Linked DNA regions of Oryza sativa Japonica Group. The protein of the gene in region 1 binds, or shares a complex with, the protein of each later gene. Links are inferred from orthologs where the notes say so. Each region holds a gene or a part of one and is shown in the gene's direction. Other genes may lie near its edges.

Region 1 (7,547 bases):
TTAGTTTGTATGTTGGACCAACGGTGTTGGAACTTAGTTAATGATTTGGTTCCACAAAGGCATCACATTTCATAATTGATGATCCCTGATGGGGGGGTTTAGACTAGTCTTCTATAGTCAATGGAAACTAAGTTTCTCATGTTGTTTGCATGGTTGCAAGTAATCATCTACCTTTGAGGCCTGACTATTCACATACGTATAGTTTCACGTGTATTGAAATTTGAAAATGTTATTTTGTCATGCAACAAGTCCTTGACTTACTTATTGTGAAATATTATATCATATTTAAATTGTTAAATATTCCTTGAGGTAGGCTTCAGTGCTTTATTCCACTATATTCTTATAATTTTGTTCCTCTCTGGTTACACATGCAGCTATGCCAGATTTTGCACAAGTATACAGCTTTCTGGGAAGCATATTTGATCCAGATACTAGTGGGCATTTGCAGACTTTAAAGGCGATGGATCCAATTGATGTTGAAACGGTATGTTTCTTGAGATTTGAGATATAGTTTCTGAATGTTCTATGATTATATCGTATCCTTTTCCCAACACAGATATTCTTAATTTTGAAGTAGCGGAAATGTTAGACAGATGTGCATTTATGGGGCCCCAGTTGTAGAACAGCTGTAAAAGTTTCAGTGATACTAACATTTCACTTCACTATTGTTGTTCTTAGAAGCCTTTCTTTGTTCAGTAAGGCCAAAATAAGACTTTGCATTCTCTTCCATTCATAGCTCTTACCCTTAACTAAAAAATCATCTGCTGCAACTTTCCACATTTGAAAGAAGTTATTCGTATATTTTATGCTAAACACAGTAGGAATTCATTGTATCAATATATATATAGGTTGTCTCACCATTCTACTGCATTGGTTTCGATCAATTCATGTTCTTCTATTTTATGGACAACCGTACCATTGTTACTTCTAGTTTTTCTTCACATAACTATTTTATTTCACTTGCAATGAACACTGGTTGATCTGACAAATTGACAGGTACTACTGCTGATGAGAAATCTGTCCATGAACTTAACTAGCCCCAACTTTGCGGCACATGTAAGTTGTTCTGTTTTTGTATTTGTTCTCCACTGATATTATGCATCTTGTAGCTATCTAAACATGTTATGAGTAATTTAGAGTTTGAACTGTACTAGCGTTAAGGTTTGCCATTTTGGCTAGTTATTGTGGTTAGGGTTCTTGTTAGCTGAATTTGTGTTCGAAGTTTGGGGTAGCTAATAATGTTTTAAATAACAAACAATTGACTGGCTACTTTCATGATTACTGTGATCAGATTGCATTAGTTGCCTACCACATGCTTACTCTCATCCACCTGTGTTCTTCTGGATATCTAGTGTCAAGTTGACCGCATCCATGTCCTCTCAAACTTACTTTGCAGGATTTGATCCTGATTGGGCTGGCTACAACAGCCATAGAAACTTTATACGGAACTTTTCTTTTTCCTGAATAACTAAATAGGATATTATTATCATGGTTTCGTGGTATATAGTTTCTACAGATATGAAATGCATTAGCTATGTCAATAAGGGCATATTTTATGTTCTACACAACACTTGCATTTGACTTCGATTTGTTATAGTGCAATGTCCTGACATTTTGACTCTACCTGATTGCAGCTGAGCTTGCTGTCATCATGTAATTCTGGTGGGGACCCAATTAAGTCTGAAGGCATGGAAAATCTTGGATCTCCACAGAGTTGCCATCTCCCGTTCATGTAATACTTCAGTTACTCTCGTTTTCTAGGTGCTTGTAATCTGATTTTATCCCATCTTGCTGAAGCAACTTTTCGTACTCCAGGGTAACAAGTGAGTGAGGGAGAACTGCTTGTATGCGGACGAAGCTTCAGTTGTTTCCACAAGACGTTCTTGTGTTCTCTTTGTACTGGAGTTGTGGACGGCTGATCCGGCAGTTTACCAACGCTAGCACGTGTTGTGGCCGTGGCATCTGTATAGCTTCCAATAATGCTCTAACCCTAGGCTAGTTTTGCTCATCAATCATGTTCATGTAGATAGCCAGTTTTGTGTGCTCAGCAATTCTTTTTCCCTCGGGGTGGGGCATGGCTCGAAATGTTTTTGTATGTGTACATCTTTGTATACATGTATGTAAATATGTGTGATCATGTAATGCTTAAAGATACTGTTGACTGATTTGAGGTAATAATACAATAAACCAGTGGGGCACTCGGGTGTAGTCTCTAGGGCGCCCCACTGTTGTGAAATGTGAGCTCTGAAGTTGTGGACTATCTTCAAAGCTATGACCTAGTCGAGATATGTGTTCATCTAAGTTCGTTTGAGTTTGCAGCTGGTATTGATTGCGCTATGGTTCTATAGCTGCTGTTGTACAACCCATCCCCAATGTACATTTTCGACCTTCTTGGCACCTGTTTGTATCCGAATACTGAATTGATATGCATTTTCATTTTATCTGAAACTGAAGTGCATCTTCATTTCTACCCTCATCATTTGCTCTTTGGTTTACAGGTTGCAGTTAAAAATTGAAATTTTTAAACTTCATTTTAAATTATTCTAGGTGTCATTTTCATCATTTTCTTTAAGCTGATAAAAGTAGAAATGTAAAACTCTACCCTAAAATCATATTCCATCACATTTATTTTCTACGGAATATTAACCACTTCCAAGATTGTTTTTTTTTTTCCCGAATTCAGCATGTTCCTATTCGGAATTCATGGCTGTTAGCGGCGTACCCCTCCATCCCATAAAAAACAACCTAGTACCGGATGCGACACATCTTAAGACTATGAATTTGGACATAAAATATCATATCCTATTCTAGATTCGTTTTTTCATGGAATGGAGGGAGTACCTAGTAAGGGTCAACAGAGGTCATTGAATACTGGTGATTTTTTTTTTACAGTTATAAGTTATGTATTTATACCATGTGGGACACCCTTACTAAGTTAAATCGAACACATGAGAAGGTTGCTTCATAAGTTAGATGAGCATAAGGACCATCGGTAATTTTCTTAGCGGGTTCACTGCTAATGGCTATGGTTGTATTAACTTATATTTTTTTGTTGTTAAGGGTGTAATGCCGCTGCTTGCAGCCATAACTAAGGCTATAGGGAGCGTTCTTCTGGCCGGCTACAATGGTTGCAGTTGTAGCTACGCACAGTGAGTGCGGCACTATTCGTGTCGATCATGGTGCAGTCACAAAAGCAACAGCCGAAAATGCTCATTAAATAGAGCCGCTTATTTTTAAGTTAATTAGAACTGATCTAAAAGTTTTACATATAAATTATATTTTGGTTGATACTAATAAAAACATGATGGCTGGAAACAACAAGACATAAATTTTGGAGGAAAAACCGCTGTAAAATACACTCCGTCTCCCACAAGAGAACACGCCATTTTGGCAGGCGTTTCCCCCTCCGAACTCCACCGAGGTGATCCCTCCCATGGCGGCCGTTAGCTACGAGTAGCCGCGGAGACGGAAGACTCTCCCACCTAGCAAAAGGACTAGTAGCAATCCAGCGAACTCAAAGCCACCCCTCCTCGTCTCCCTCGCCCAAGTCCACGGCGAGCCGCGGCGGCGGCGGCGGCGGAGGAGGAGGCGCAGCGAGTGGGAGGGGAGGCGGAAAATGGTGGTGGTGGACGCGTCGGAGTTCGGGGCGGAGGGGTTCGACCCGAAGCGGTGGATCAACGCGGCGCTGGACGCGCGCCACCCGTCGGAGCCGCTCGACCGCTTCCTCGCCGACGCCGAGGAGCGCCTCCGCTCGGCCGCCGACGACGCCGCGGCCGCGCTCGAGCGGGACAGCGCCGACGCGCTCCGCCGCGTCCCGCTCGCCTGCCGCGACGCGCTCCGCCTCCGCGACGACGCCGTCTCGCTCCGGTCCCATCTCGCCTCCGTCCTCCAGTCGCTCTCCCAGGTGCGCCCCCGCTCGCCTGCTAGTTGGATCTGGATCTCACAGTTCACTCGTGCACAATTGTACGTGTATCACGCGAAACCCAGATCATTTTGGAGGATTACGAACTTGCGATAATAGTTGGTGCGAATGAGCAAATGTTGAACCAATTTGGCACAATAGGTTTTAGTTTGATTCATTTATGCGTATGATTCAGCCTCTGGCCGCTTTTAGTACCCCCCGTTTTTTCACTTGGATCTGGATCTCACGTACTGTATTTGGTCATGTCAATTTTATCCTTGTACGCTTTGCATTGAACAGTGCGTACAACTAGAACTGTATTTAGTCATGTCAATTTTATCGCTGTACGCTTTTATCAAATGATATGTTAATTTGATCATCTCTGTTAACTGAAACTGAAGTCAGAATTTGCGTGGGCTTGGCAAAACCAAGCTGGAGCTCTGTTGGCAAAATCCTTGCATGTGTCGGGATGTTATAATGCTGTGTACTTATGCAATGCAGTTATGTGCATGTAAACTTTGAGTATGCTGTAGAGGACATTCAAATCCAGCAGTTCAGTGATGCCCATAAAACTATGCCTATAGTCTATTATAATGGGATACCGTCACTTATATCATTTAGTTCATATAGGTGATAGGTCAGGATGCTACATCAAATCACAAGCAAAACATTTTCTCCTGTAGCATGTACTTCTTGTTACGTGTAGCGTTATCTTCTCATAACATTTAGCTTGACATTTTGTAGAATACACTGGAATGAATTTGCTAGCACTAGAACTTTTTTTTTTGGGTACTGAGTGATTCCTTCTTTGTAACGGCCAATGCTGAATACTGGGTGTTAATGAATGAAATATGACATACATATGCATGTATGATCAACTAACTAGGTATTCAGTCCCATCTACATTTCATAAATTCTGTATTACTGATGATGATGATTTCTTCAATCAGGCTGAGGGTTCATCTGCAGAGTCAATAACTGCACTAGCACGAATTGATACTGTGAAACAACGAATGGAAGCGGCGTATGCAACATTACAGGTAAGTTGTATGTGGACTATGGTGCATGTTACTGAAGTAAATGCTTCACTCACAGTGGTAGGTTATCTTTTAATAGATTTAACAGCTTGTTGGTCGGAATGCCAGGATGCGGCTGGACTAGCTCAGTTGAGCCAAAGTGTTGAGGATGTATTTTCTAGTGGTGATCTTCCAAAAGCTGCAGAAACCCTGGCAACCATGAGACATTGCTTGTCGGCAGTTGGTGAGGTATTGTACTCTCTCACACAAACATGCACAGTACACTGAGTTTATATGCAGAAGCTATTTGTTTTGCTTATATAAAAGTTGCTTTCAGGTTGCGGAGTTCGCTAATGTGAGAAAGCAGCTTGAAGTATTGGAAGAACGGCTAGATGACATGGTTCAACCTCGTTTGGTGGATGCACTTTCTAACCGCAAGGTTTTTCTTACTAATCTCATTTATATTTGTTAAACAGTAGTACAGGCATCTCTATTTCATCTAAAGCCTACAAATTTTGGTTGGAAGGTCGATGCTGTGCAAGATCTTCGTGGAATACTGATACGTATTGGCAGATTCAAGTCACTGGAGGTGCAATATACTAAGATCCATGTCAAGCCTCTAAAGAAACTTTGGGAAGATTTTGATCTAAAACAGAGAGCTAAGCGGGTAGAGATGGAGAAGTATGGTGGAGAAAGCATAAACAGTCTCTCATTTGCTAGCTGGCTTCCAAATTTCTATGATGAGACACTACTTTACCTTGAACAAGAATGGAAGTGGTATGTTCATTGTACCCTGTTGTCTTTTGTTCTGAATCAGCAATGTTTGCCCTTGTAAACAGAAGCCAGTTTTTGGCAGCATCTTTTAGCTGCATTCGGACAATATTTTTGCTCCACCAAAAATTAATGGATGTTCTACAATGCTAATGCTGAAGGTGCCTGACTGCTTTCCCTGAAGAATACAAATCACTAGTCCCAAAAGTACTTGTTGAAACCATGAGTGAGTTGAATTCAAGTTTTGTCTCTCGTGTCAACCTAGCAACTGGAGATGCTGTTCCTGAAACTAGATCTGTTGCAAAAGGTAATGCATAAACTTCTCGTATTATTTCATTTTTGTATGTCTATACTAATTTCATGATTGAATTACATGTTTTATTTTTCTCTGTTCAATTAAAAAAGGATATTACTTGTTTGCCACATATGCGTACTTCTTTCGTAACAATAAATTGATTTTATGTCCTCTGTACCCAGGTATACTAGATGTTTTATCAGGTGACTTGCCAAAAAGTACCAAATTGCAGAATAAGCATCTTGGAGCACTGATCGACCTGCACAACATGACGGGCACTTTTGCTCGGAACATCCAACATTTATTTTCAGAGTCAGATCTTTTAGTTCTGCTGAATACATTGAAAGCTATTTATTCCCCATATGAGACTTTTAAAGCAAGGTAAAAAAAAAACTTGTGAAAAATTCTGTTGCATGCAGTTAACTGCATTGGTGAGATTTTTTTTGTTGCTATTGCTGTAGTACTCAGCCAGTGGTGTTTCATGCTATGTAGGTATGGGCAAATGGAGCGTGCTTTACTTTCTGCTGAGATGGCTGGTATAGATATCCGTGGGGCCATTGCTCGTGGTGTGGGTGCACAGGGTATAGAGCTGAGTGAAACTGTTCGTAGAATGGAGGAATCCATCCCACAAATTATAGTGCTTCTTGAAGCAGCTGTCGAGAGATGCATTAGTCTTACTGGTGGTTCAGAGGCAGATGAACTGGTATTGGCTCTAGATGACATTATGCTGCAGTACATATCAAACCTACAAGAAACTTTAAAATCCCTTAGGATTGTATGTGGGGTGGATAATACTGCACATAGTGATTCCTCTAAAAAGGAAGCAGGACTAGAGAAAAAAGAAGCACAACGATTGGTCGATGTCTCTGAAGAGGAAGAATGGTCTATTGTCCAGGGTGCTTTGCAGATTCTTACAGTTGCTGATTGCCTAACTAGCAGAACCTCAGTTTTTGAAGCTTCTTTAAGGGCTACTCTTGCCAGGATTGGAACCAACTTTTCTATTTCTGGTTTTGGTTCTAGCCTAGATAAATCAACTGCAGCAAATGGTGATGAGAATGCAGAAGTGCCTATCACAGGGAGGGCAGCACTTGATATTGCAGCTATTCGCCTCACCGATCTACCAGACAAGTCTAAGAAGCTCTTCACTGTACTAGAACAGGCAAGTTATATATTTTTAAATTATCTTGCTAGTGTCACAACACTAGAGTTATCACATGTTTCTCTGATTTGTTTGAACAGCCTGATTGCAAACTTAGGTGGTAGTATTAAGCTAGATTATCTGGTTTTATAGGAAATTCGGAGATCTTTTTTAGCTTTCCTTTTCTATTATGCATTTTTTTAAGCTACTCATATGTGGCATAGAACCTATTTTTTGACCTATAATTTCCCAAGTATCACAAGTAACTCTTTGTTTGTCTTCATGGCTAATTTAAAGATAACATTTCTGTTATACAGTCAAAAGATCCAAGGTTCCATGCTCTACCTCTGACATCACAAAGAGTTGCGGCCTTCTCAGACACAGTAAATGAACTCGTCTATGACGTGCTCATATCTAAAGTCCGAC
Region 2 (7,348 bases), on another chromosome or scaffold:
TTCCTCATCGTTGTCGGAGCTGTGGACACAATCTGGTGATGGTGCGTGTATGGCTATCCTGGCCTCTTAGTCGTTGTCGACCATGGTGTAGCCCTTCTCGTGGCGATGGCCAATGGTTCCGGATCATGGTCTGGCACTGGACAAGCTTGTCCTGGCGGGCATAGAGCGTCTCGGCCGTTAAGCGCGCGTCCTCGTTGAGCTTCTCCTCCAGCTCCGGCGGCACCAGAGGGTTGGGCTCCTCTTCCAGGATCGTCGATGTGGAGGGTCCTCTTGATGGCCAGTATCTTGTCAACCAGCCTGTTGGCCAGCAGTATCTTCCCACTCGGGACCATGATCTTCTCGCCGTCGATCACCGCCACCACGGGGATCGGCATCGGTAGGTTCCTGTTCATCAGAAACGCCAGCGGCCACCGCCTTCCTCTTGGTGGATGACTTCTTCATGGGGCCACCGACTCACTCGCCTTCTCGGCCGCCGTGCCTCGAGCAGAGCACGCCTTCATTGATATCTTCTCACTGGCCAATGCCGCCTCCTCATCCTCCTCCTCGGTCGCCGCAGTGATCACGCGTCGATTGAGCCCACCCTCTTTGCCGGTCATCACTTCCGATGGGGAATTTTCCTTAGAGAATTTGATGGCTCTTCTTCGTAGATGGGGATTTTGGATGAACCCTAACTTTTCGATAGAGGGAAGAGGCCGCCGGTGCGTGGTAGTTACTAAGGTAACATAAGTGGGCTATATAAGTTGCCACATCAGATTTGTGCTTGTGTGGAGGAGAGATGAGAGGAGAGAGAATAAAAGTGGGCTACAGATTTGTAACCAGCTACATCACAAGCTCCAATATTTTTAACTATGTGAGAGAGATGGATGGATTATGCATTCATGATGCAGTATATTTCTACAGCTAACTATTGTATGAGTAAGCTATTAGATAGACTATAAATGATGTTTTAAATTTTGAAGTTAGTAGTGGGCTGTATTATTAAACTTGCTCTTAGAGGGAAGCTTAAGGGGTGGCTAATGGGCGGGTGACCACCCCAGGCGATCACCCCCCATCCTCCTATACGTTACTCTCCCTCCCTTCCTCCTCCCCTTCTTCTCTTCCTACTACACCATAAATTTAAAAAAAATAAAAAAATAAAGTTGGAAAAATTTATGTATAGAAAATACTATATATAAAAAATATTTGAATTTAAATTCAAATTTGAAACAGGTATGTAAACTTTTAACTTATAAACTTTGGGCCTATAAACTAATATTTGAATTCAAATTCAAATTTGAATCGGGTATGTAAACTTTTGACTTATAAACTTTGGATCTATAAACTTTAAATGTATAGAAGTACTATATATAAAAAATATTTGAATTCAAGTTCAAATTTGAATCGGATATAACTCAAATTCAAATTTGAAACGGGTATATAAACTTCTGACTTAAACTTTAGGCCTATAAACTTTAGATGTATAGAAATACTGTATGTAAAAAATATTTGAATTCAAATTCAAATTTGAATCGGATATATAAACTTTTGACTTATAAACTCTGGGTCTCTAAACTTTAGGTGTATAGGAAAGTAATGCGATGCAAAAAAAAAAAAGAACCCACGTGGTGGGGGGGGGGGGGGGGGGGCGGAGCGGCCCTGATCGCCCCGGGCAATCGTTCGCCCAGTAGCAAAACCGTGAAGCTTATCATAGTCTGACTCGAGATGGCAGTCACCGCCTGATCACCGGCATCTTCATTCGCTCGGATCTCGGACCATGCAACGCAGCCGCACCGGCCAAGCCATGTCACGGCGATCACGCCGGCGTAGGCATCGTCACGCAGTTGCCTGCGTCACCCTGTTTTCGCTGCCGCCGCCGGAGCGGATAGCGGAAGCTACCGAGCCGACACAGCACGAGCACCGGAATCTCCGAGCCGCGCAATCTTACCAATTTTTAGTAAAGTTACCAAAACAGTGGCTACATTTAGTTTGCTGCCAAATTTTGGTAACTATATAAGAAATATTGTTAAAATTTTGACAACTATACTAAAATTTTGGTAATATCAAAATTTAGTAAGTTTTTTTTTTCATCAAAGTGAACAGGCCTCAAGTCCGTTGGATTGGAGCATATGGGTTCAACCAAGCAGGCCAAACTTTACAGCCCATCAAGGCCTTGTATAAGAGGCCCGCCAAATGGCCCATCTCACTAGATGGGCCTAAACTAAAATCAATTTCCAGCCCATCAAATGCCTTGTCTCTTTAGTCGTCAATATCGGCCCATTTACTAGTATGGGCTGGAAATTCGAGCTACTCCAAAAATTTGGCCCATTCCAGCCAAATCCAAACGACCAAACAAGCAGCGAGTTCGAGAGACCACTCTCCTCAGATCTCTACCCCATCTCTCCCACCGCTTCTCAGATCCACCACCAACACCCGCGGTCGCCGGCGGCCACCGCGCGCGCCATGGCCGCGCCAGCGACGCCGCGGCTACTCCTCTCGCCGACCTCCAAGGACCTCATCGCCGCCGCCTCCTCCTCCTTCCCGTCGCCGCCCTCCCCGACGACCTCTTCCGATCCCGCCTCCCCGCTCGACGCCTTCGCCTCCGACCCGGTCCTCTCCGCGTTCCTCTCCCCGTCCTTCTCCCCCTCCGACTTCTCCTCCGCCGCGCTCTCCTCGGGCCTCGCCGCCTCCCGCGCCGAGCAGCTGCAGGAGGCCATCCGCCTCCTCCGCCGCCACCTCCGCGCCGAGGTGCTCCGCCGCCACCCGCTCCTCCTCTCCCACCTCCTCTCCCTCCGCTCCGCCTCCGCCTCGCTCTCCTCCCTCCCCTCCCACCTCCACCTCCTCTCCTCCCACCTCTCGCTCCTCTCCTCCCATCTCTCCGCGCCGCGCGCACACCTCGCGCACTCCTCCTCCTCCCTCTCCACCCTCCTCTCCACCGCCGACCTCCTGCTCCACTCCCACCGCCTCGTCCGCCTCTCCTCCCGCCTCCTCACCTCCACGCCGCCTCCTGACCTCGCCCGCCAGGCCGAGCTCCACCGCGAGATCCGCCTTCTCTACGAGGAGAAGAACCTCGCCGGCATCAATGCCGTCGACGAGGAGATGCGCAAGGTCGATGCGGCTGCCTCTAAGCTCCGATCGGAGGCCAGCGCTGTGATCGATCGCGGCATTGCTGAGTCCAACCAGAACGACGTCTGGTGCGGGCTGCAGGTGTACTATAATCTCGGAGAACTGAAGCCGGCAGTGGAAGGGCTCGTGGCGAAGTACAAGGCGGCAGGAGCGAAGAGTGTGGCTGTGGCACTGGACATGAAGGCTATATCAATGGCTGCAGGGGGTGGAGGTGGCCCTGGAGGCGTGCAGAGGAGTGGCACGCCACAGATTGGTGGCAGTAAGAAGGCGGCGGAGGCACTGTGGGATAGGATGAGACAGTGCATGGAGGAGCTGCATCGGTCGGTCACGGCCGCATGGCAGCTGCAGACTGTGCTCACCAAGAAACGTGTTCCATTCACACAAATGCTGTTCCTCGAGGAGGTTTGGCAGGTGAGACCTGATCAATGGGCTAATCCTATTGCTGCAAATTAATTGAAATGAAATTTAGAATATAAGATGTGTTAAAGTTGGTAAACATCGAATAGACACTATATGAAGATTTTGTTGACAATATGATGTTCGTCTGTGACTGTGAGTCATGAGATATGTTGGCAGCCGAGAGACTTAGGCAGAATAATTTACATCGATATACCTGTAACTATTTTGCAGGGAACAAATTTGATCTAAGTCTACATGTTTAGTTATTGATCCTATATTGTTTACACTTGAGTTGGCAGGTTTGCATGATATATCACAATGTAATTTGTCAACCTAAATTGGATCTTACGATATATCATTTTCAAGTAGTTGATAGTAGAAATAAGTGCATGCCTTGGATTAGATATAATATATCAGTTCTAGTCTTCTAGAATAATGAATTATCTTTAAGATGTCAGTTGGAAAGTAATATGAACTATCTATTCATGATGCTCAGTGTTGCAACATATACTGAGTTATTACTTACTACACTAGTAAACACATATAGTCCTTTCTATCTCCTATAACTTCCTGCTGTGTGAAATTTATGTGTGGATGTTCCATGGTCTGTACAATCAAGTGCTAAATTTTTCCTCGTTCTAATATTTACCTGTCAATAGTTTATACTTGTGTGCCAATATCTTGATATTGCTCACCTTTTTTTTTTTTTTTTGAAATTTAGCATTGACATGCTCACCATGCGTTCCGATTCCTGTTTCTTGCCCCACTGACAATGAGAAAAATTGCAGGAGGGTGATCCTCTGTTAACAGAGAGAGTATGGGATGCTATTGTTAAGGCCTTTGCAAGTCAACTGAAATCTGCCTTTACAGCGTCAAGCTTTGTGAAGGAAATTTTTACTCTTGGATACCCAAGATTGTTTTCAATGATTGAGAACCTCCTCGAGAGGATTTTAAGAGACACCGATGTAAAAGGCACCCTTCCAGCTCTTACTCCCGTAGGGAAAAACCACATGACTGCAGCCATTGAGATATTCCAGACAGCCTTTCTGGCTCTTTGTCATAGTCGCCTCTCTGATTATATCAATAGCATATTTCCCATGTCAGGCCGTGGTATACCTTCAAAAGACCAAATATCAAGGTTAATTTCTCGCATCCAAGAGGAAGTTGAAGTTGTGAGAACTCATGGGCATTTGCTTGCTCGTGTTCTACAAGAAATTGGAAAAGTTTTGCTTCTCCTAGCACAAAGAGCTGAATATCAGGTATTCACCTGCTACTTTATAGTGAAGTTATTTATTTCTAGTTTTTCCTAGGGATTTTGTATGCTTTCTCAGTTTGTCATGTAAATATTAGCATATGCGATTCTTATGGAATGGTAAATCTACTACTAAACTCTGATGATTTTGATTTGAAACTTGTATATGTTACTTTTACGTCATGACCTGTTTCACTGACTGTTTTGTAGATTTTATTCTGTTAAAAAAACTTAAGATTTTTTTTTCTAGCAGATGGTTGTAGCTCTATCTGTAGGTCCTTATTGTGCATTGGATTGTTCTCTTTTCTCGACTAAGTTTGTGAAGCTAATCAGTCACCTCACAGACCTCAATCTATGTTCAATATGCACTGCTCGGTCGACCTTTTCATTCACCTCAATCTATGTACAATGCATTTGTTGGTGCCTGTGTTATTCTGTTCTTAGGAGCTCCTCTAGTTATAAAAGTTGGCCTTTTCATTGAGATGAATAAAATTCTGGAAGTTTTTTTTGTTAGTTTTGTGGTTATTGGGGGTCGCAGAGTGAAATAAGAGAGATCTTAATCTAACCCAGTGAATGTGTACTTGTGGGGACTGCTGGTTGTTTCCAAGAAAATAGTGATATCATGTTGGTTTGGTGAACTAAAATTTGTGTTCTTAACTTCTGTCTCAATTTGAAGTAAAGAGAGTACAGCATAGAACTTGCATTATGAAAAAAATGATGTCCTATAGTGCACTGCTGCATGAGAAAATGCGACTGACGTCTTAAGCAGAATAGCAGATCATGAAACATGGACAACATTCGCTGGTTTAAGCCATTCTAAAATCTACGGCATAGAAGAGTTGGATCAATGTGCCTTTGCTGGAGAGCAAAAATGCACGTACAATCTAATTATATTGTTTGCTTTGCTGTTGGTTGTTTTACCGACTGAGTACTATTTTCACCATTTCCTCCTATGTGATATACTTGCTTATTTGTATGTGCGCGCACTGCACGGGTTCATTTATACACTTGTCGTGCAGTGCACAACTGCAAAATGACCATAAATTGGCTGCAGGCATTGTCTTGGTTTTTGTATGCATCTGCTAGGCGCTGATGTATATTTTGCTTCAATGCAGATCTCTACTGGCACTGAAGCCCGGCAAGTTACTGGCACAGTGACTCCAGCTCAACTGAAAAACTTTGCTCTATGTCTTCACCTCCAGGATGTTCACACACGTATTTCAAGCATTGTGTCAACACTTCCAAATGTTACCTCTGAAAAACTTTCCAAATCCCTTGAGGCCATTTATACAGTCGCGTGTGATTCAGTGAGCCCTCTATTCAAAGAAATGTTTGATCGTCTCGGATCATGCATTCTGAAAATGCACGAGCAGGACTTTGGAACTCATGGAATGGACGCAACAATGGATAACAACGCTTCAGCTTACATGGAGGAACTGCAGAAGTGTGCTGTCCACTTCCGTAGCGAGTTCTTGTCAAAGCTTCTACCTTCATCATCATCCCGCTCAGAGACCATCTGTACCATAATGGTTAGAAGTATGGCCTCAAGAGTCCTCATATTGTTCATAAGGCACGCCTCTCTAGTTAGGCCACTCTCTGAAGCCGGGAAGCTGAGAATGACAAGGGACATGGCCGAGCTGGAGCTCGCTGTTGGTCAGAATCTGTTTCCAGTGGAGCAGCTAGGCGCACCGTACCGGGCGCTGCGTGCATTCAGGCCTGTCCTATTCCTGGAGACGTCTCAGCTTGAGAAATCTCCACTCCTTCAGGACTTGCCCCCTAGTGTGATCCTCCACCACCTATATTCTCGAGGACCTGATGAGTTACAGTCTCCATTGCAGCGTAACAAGCTCACGCCGCTGCAGTATTCTCTCTGGCTTGATTCCCAGGGCGAGGATCAGATCTGGAAAGGGGTGAAAGCAACCTTGGATGACTACGAGATGAAGGTCAGGTCTCGCGGAGATAAGGAGTTCAGCCCTGTGTACCCTCTCATGCTTCAGATTGGATCTGCATTGTCTCAGGCCAAGGGCTAAACCTGTGTTCAGTTCAACCCAGCATCACATATGTTTGTATCATCATCATGTAGGCATTGGGTACTTGAGAGATCGATTGAGCTTTGGAATAGTTTATACAAATGAAATAGCATTTGCATTTGTTTTTTTTATGGAAATAAAGGTGTTCAAAGTACAGACTCTTTCTCCTAGCTCCTATTATGTTGTGAAGTGTGTGATATGATTGATCATTGTACATCTATTAGTCCTGTTGTTCCATCTGCCTGCTTGACTACAAGCATGGGAATTTTGCATGCGCGGCACGCTGATCACTTGCCAGTTGTATGTATGATCTTTGGTGCTAAATCACCCGAAATGAAGGAATTTTACCTACTCATGTGAGAACTCCCAGAGATTCCAAAGTCCAATTTGGGTTCTTTAAAAAAAATTCCGTGTAAGGCATAATGCAATTGTTTTTGTGCAGTTTTTGAGGTGTGCAATCGGAAAACATATCAATATCGCCGTTGTGAATTTTCTTTTCTATTTCCTTGCATCTCCTTAAGATTTGTGCTTTATTTCTCTCCGTCCATGATAGTAGATGGTAGTG

The links.
Region 2: conserved oligomeric Golgi complex subunit 7 (region 1) and conserved oligomeric Golgi complex subunit 5 share a complex: the UniProt entries of both Arabidopsis thaliana proteins name them as parts of the conserved oligomeric Golgi complex. The link is inferred for Oryza sativa Japonica Group from reciprocal best matches to the Arabidopsis thaliana genes EYE and AT1G67930.

Annotation. Positions count from the first base shown.
Region 1 is NC_089040.1:28,595,151-28,602,697, reverse strand, and holds the start of conserved oligomeric Golgi complex subunit 7, read left to right. Parts: upstream 1-3,381; 5' UTR 3,382-3,616; coding exon 3,617-3,904; intron 3,905-4,851; coding exon 4,852-4,941; intron 4,942-5,046; coding exon 5,047-5,166; intron 5,167-5,254; coding exon 5,255-5,356; intron 5,357-5,443; coding exon 5,444-5,694; intron 5,695-5,849; coding exon 5,850-5,995; intron 5,996-6,165; coding exon 6,166-6,364; intron 6,365-6,475; coding exon 6,476-7,142; intron 7,143-7,438; coding exon 7,439-7,547. Other genes in the region: protein REVEILLE 6, read left to right, coding at 375-484, 997-1,056, 1,635-1,732, 1,816-1,831. UniProt on the Arabidopsis thaliana protein: Required for normal Golgi function. Necessary for embryo development and pigmentation, especially for the expansion of cells and organs, and for the formation of the organized shoot apical meristem (SAM).
Region 2 is NC_089039.1:18,420,378-18,427,725, reverse strand, and holds conserved oligomeric Golgi complex subunit 5, read left to right. Parts: upstream 1-2,360; 5' UTR 2,361-2,439; coding exon 2,440-3,513; intron 3,514-4,289; coding exon 4,290-4,760; intron 4,761-5,868; coding exon 5,869-6,783; 3' UTR 6,784-6,997; downstream 6,998-7,348. UniProt on the Arabidopsis thaliana protein: Required for normal Golgi function.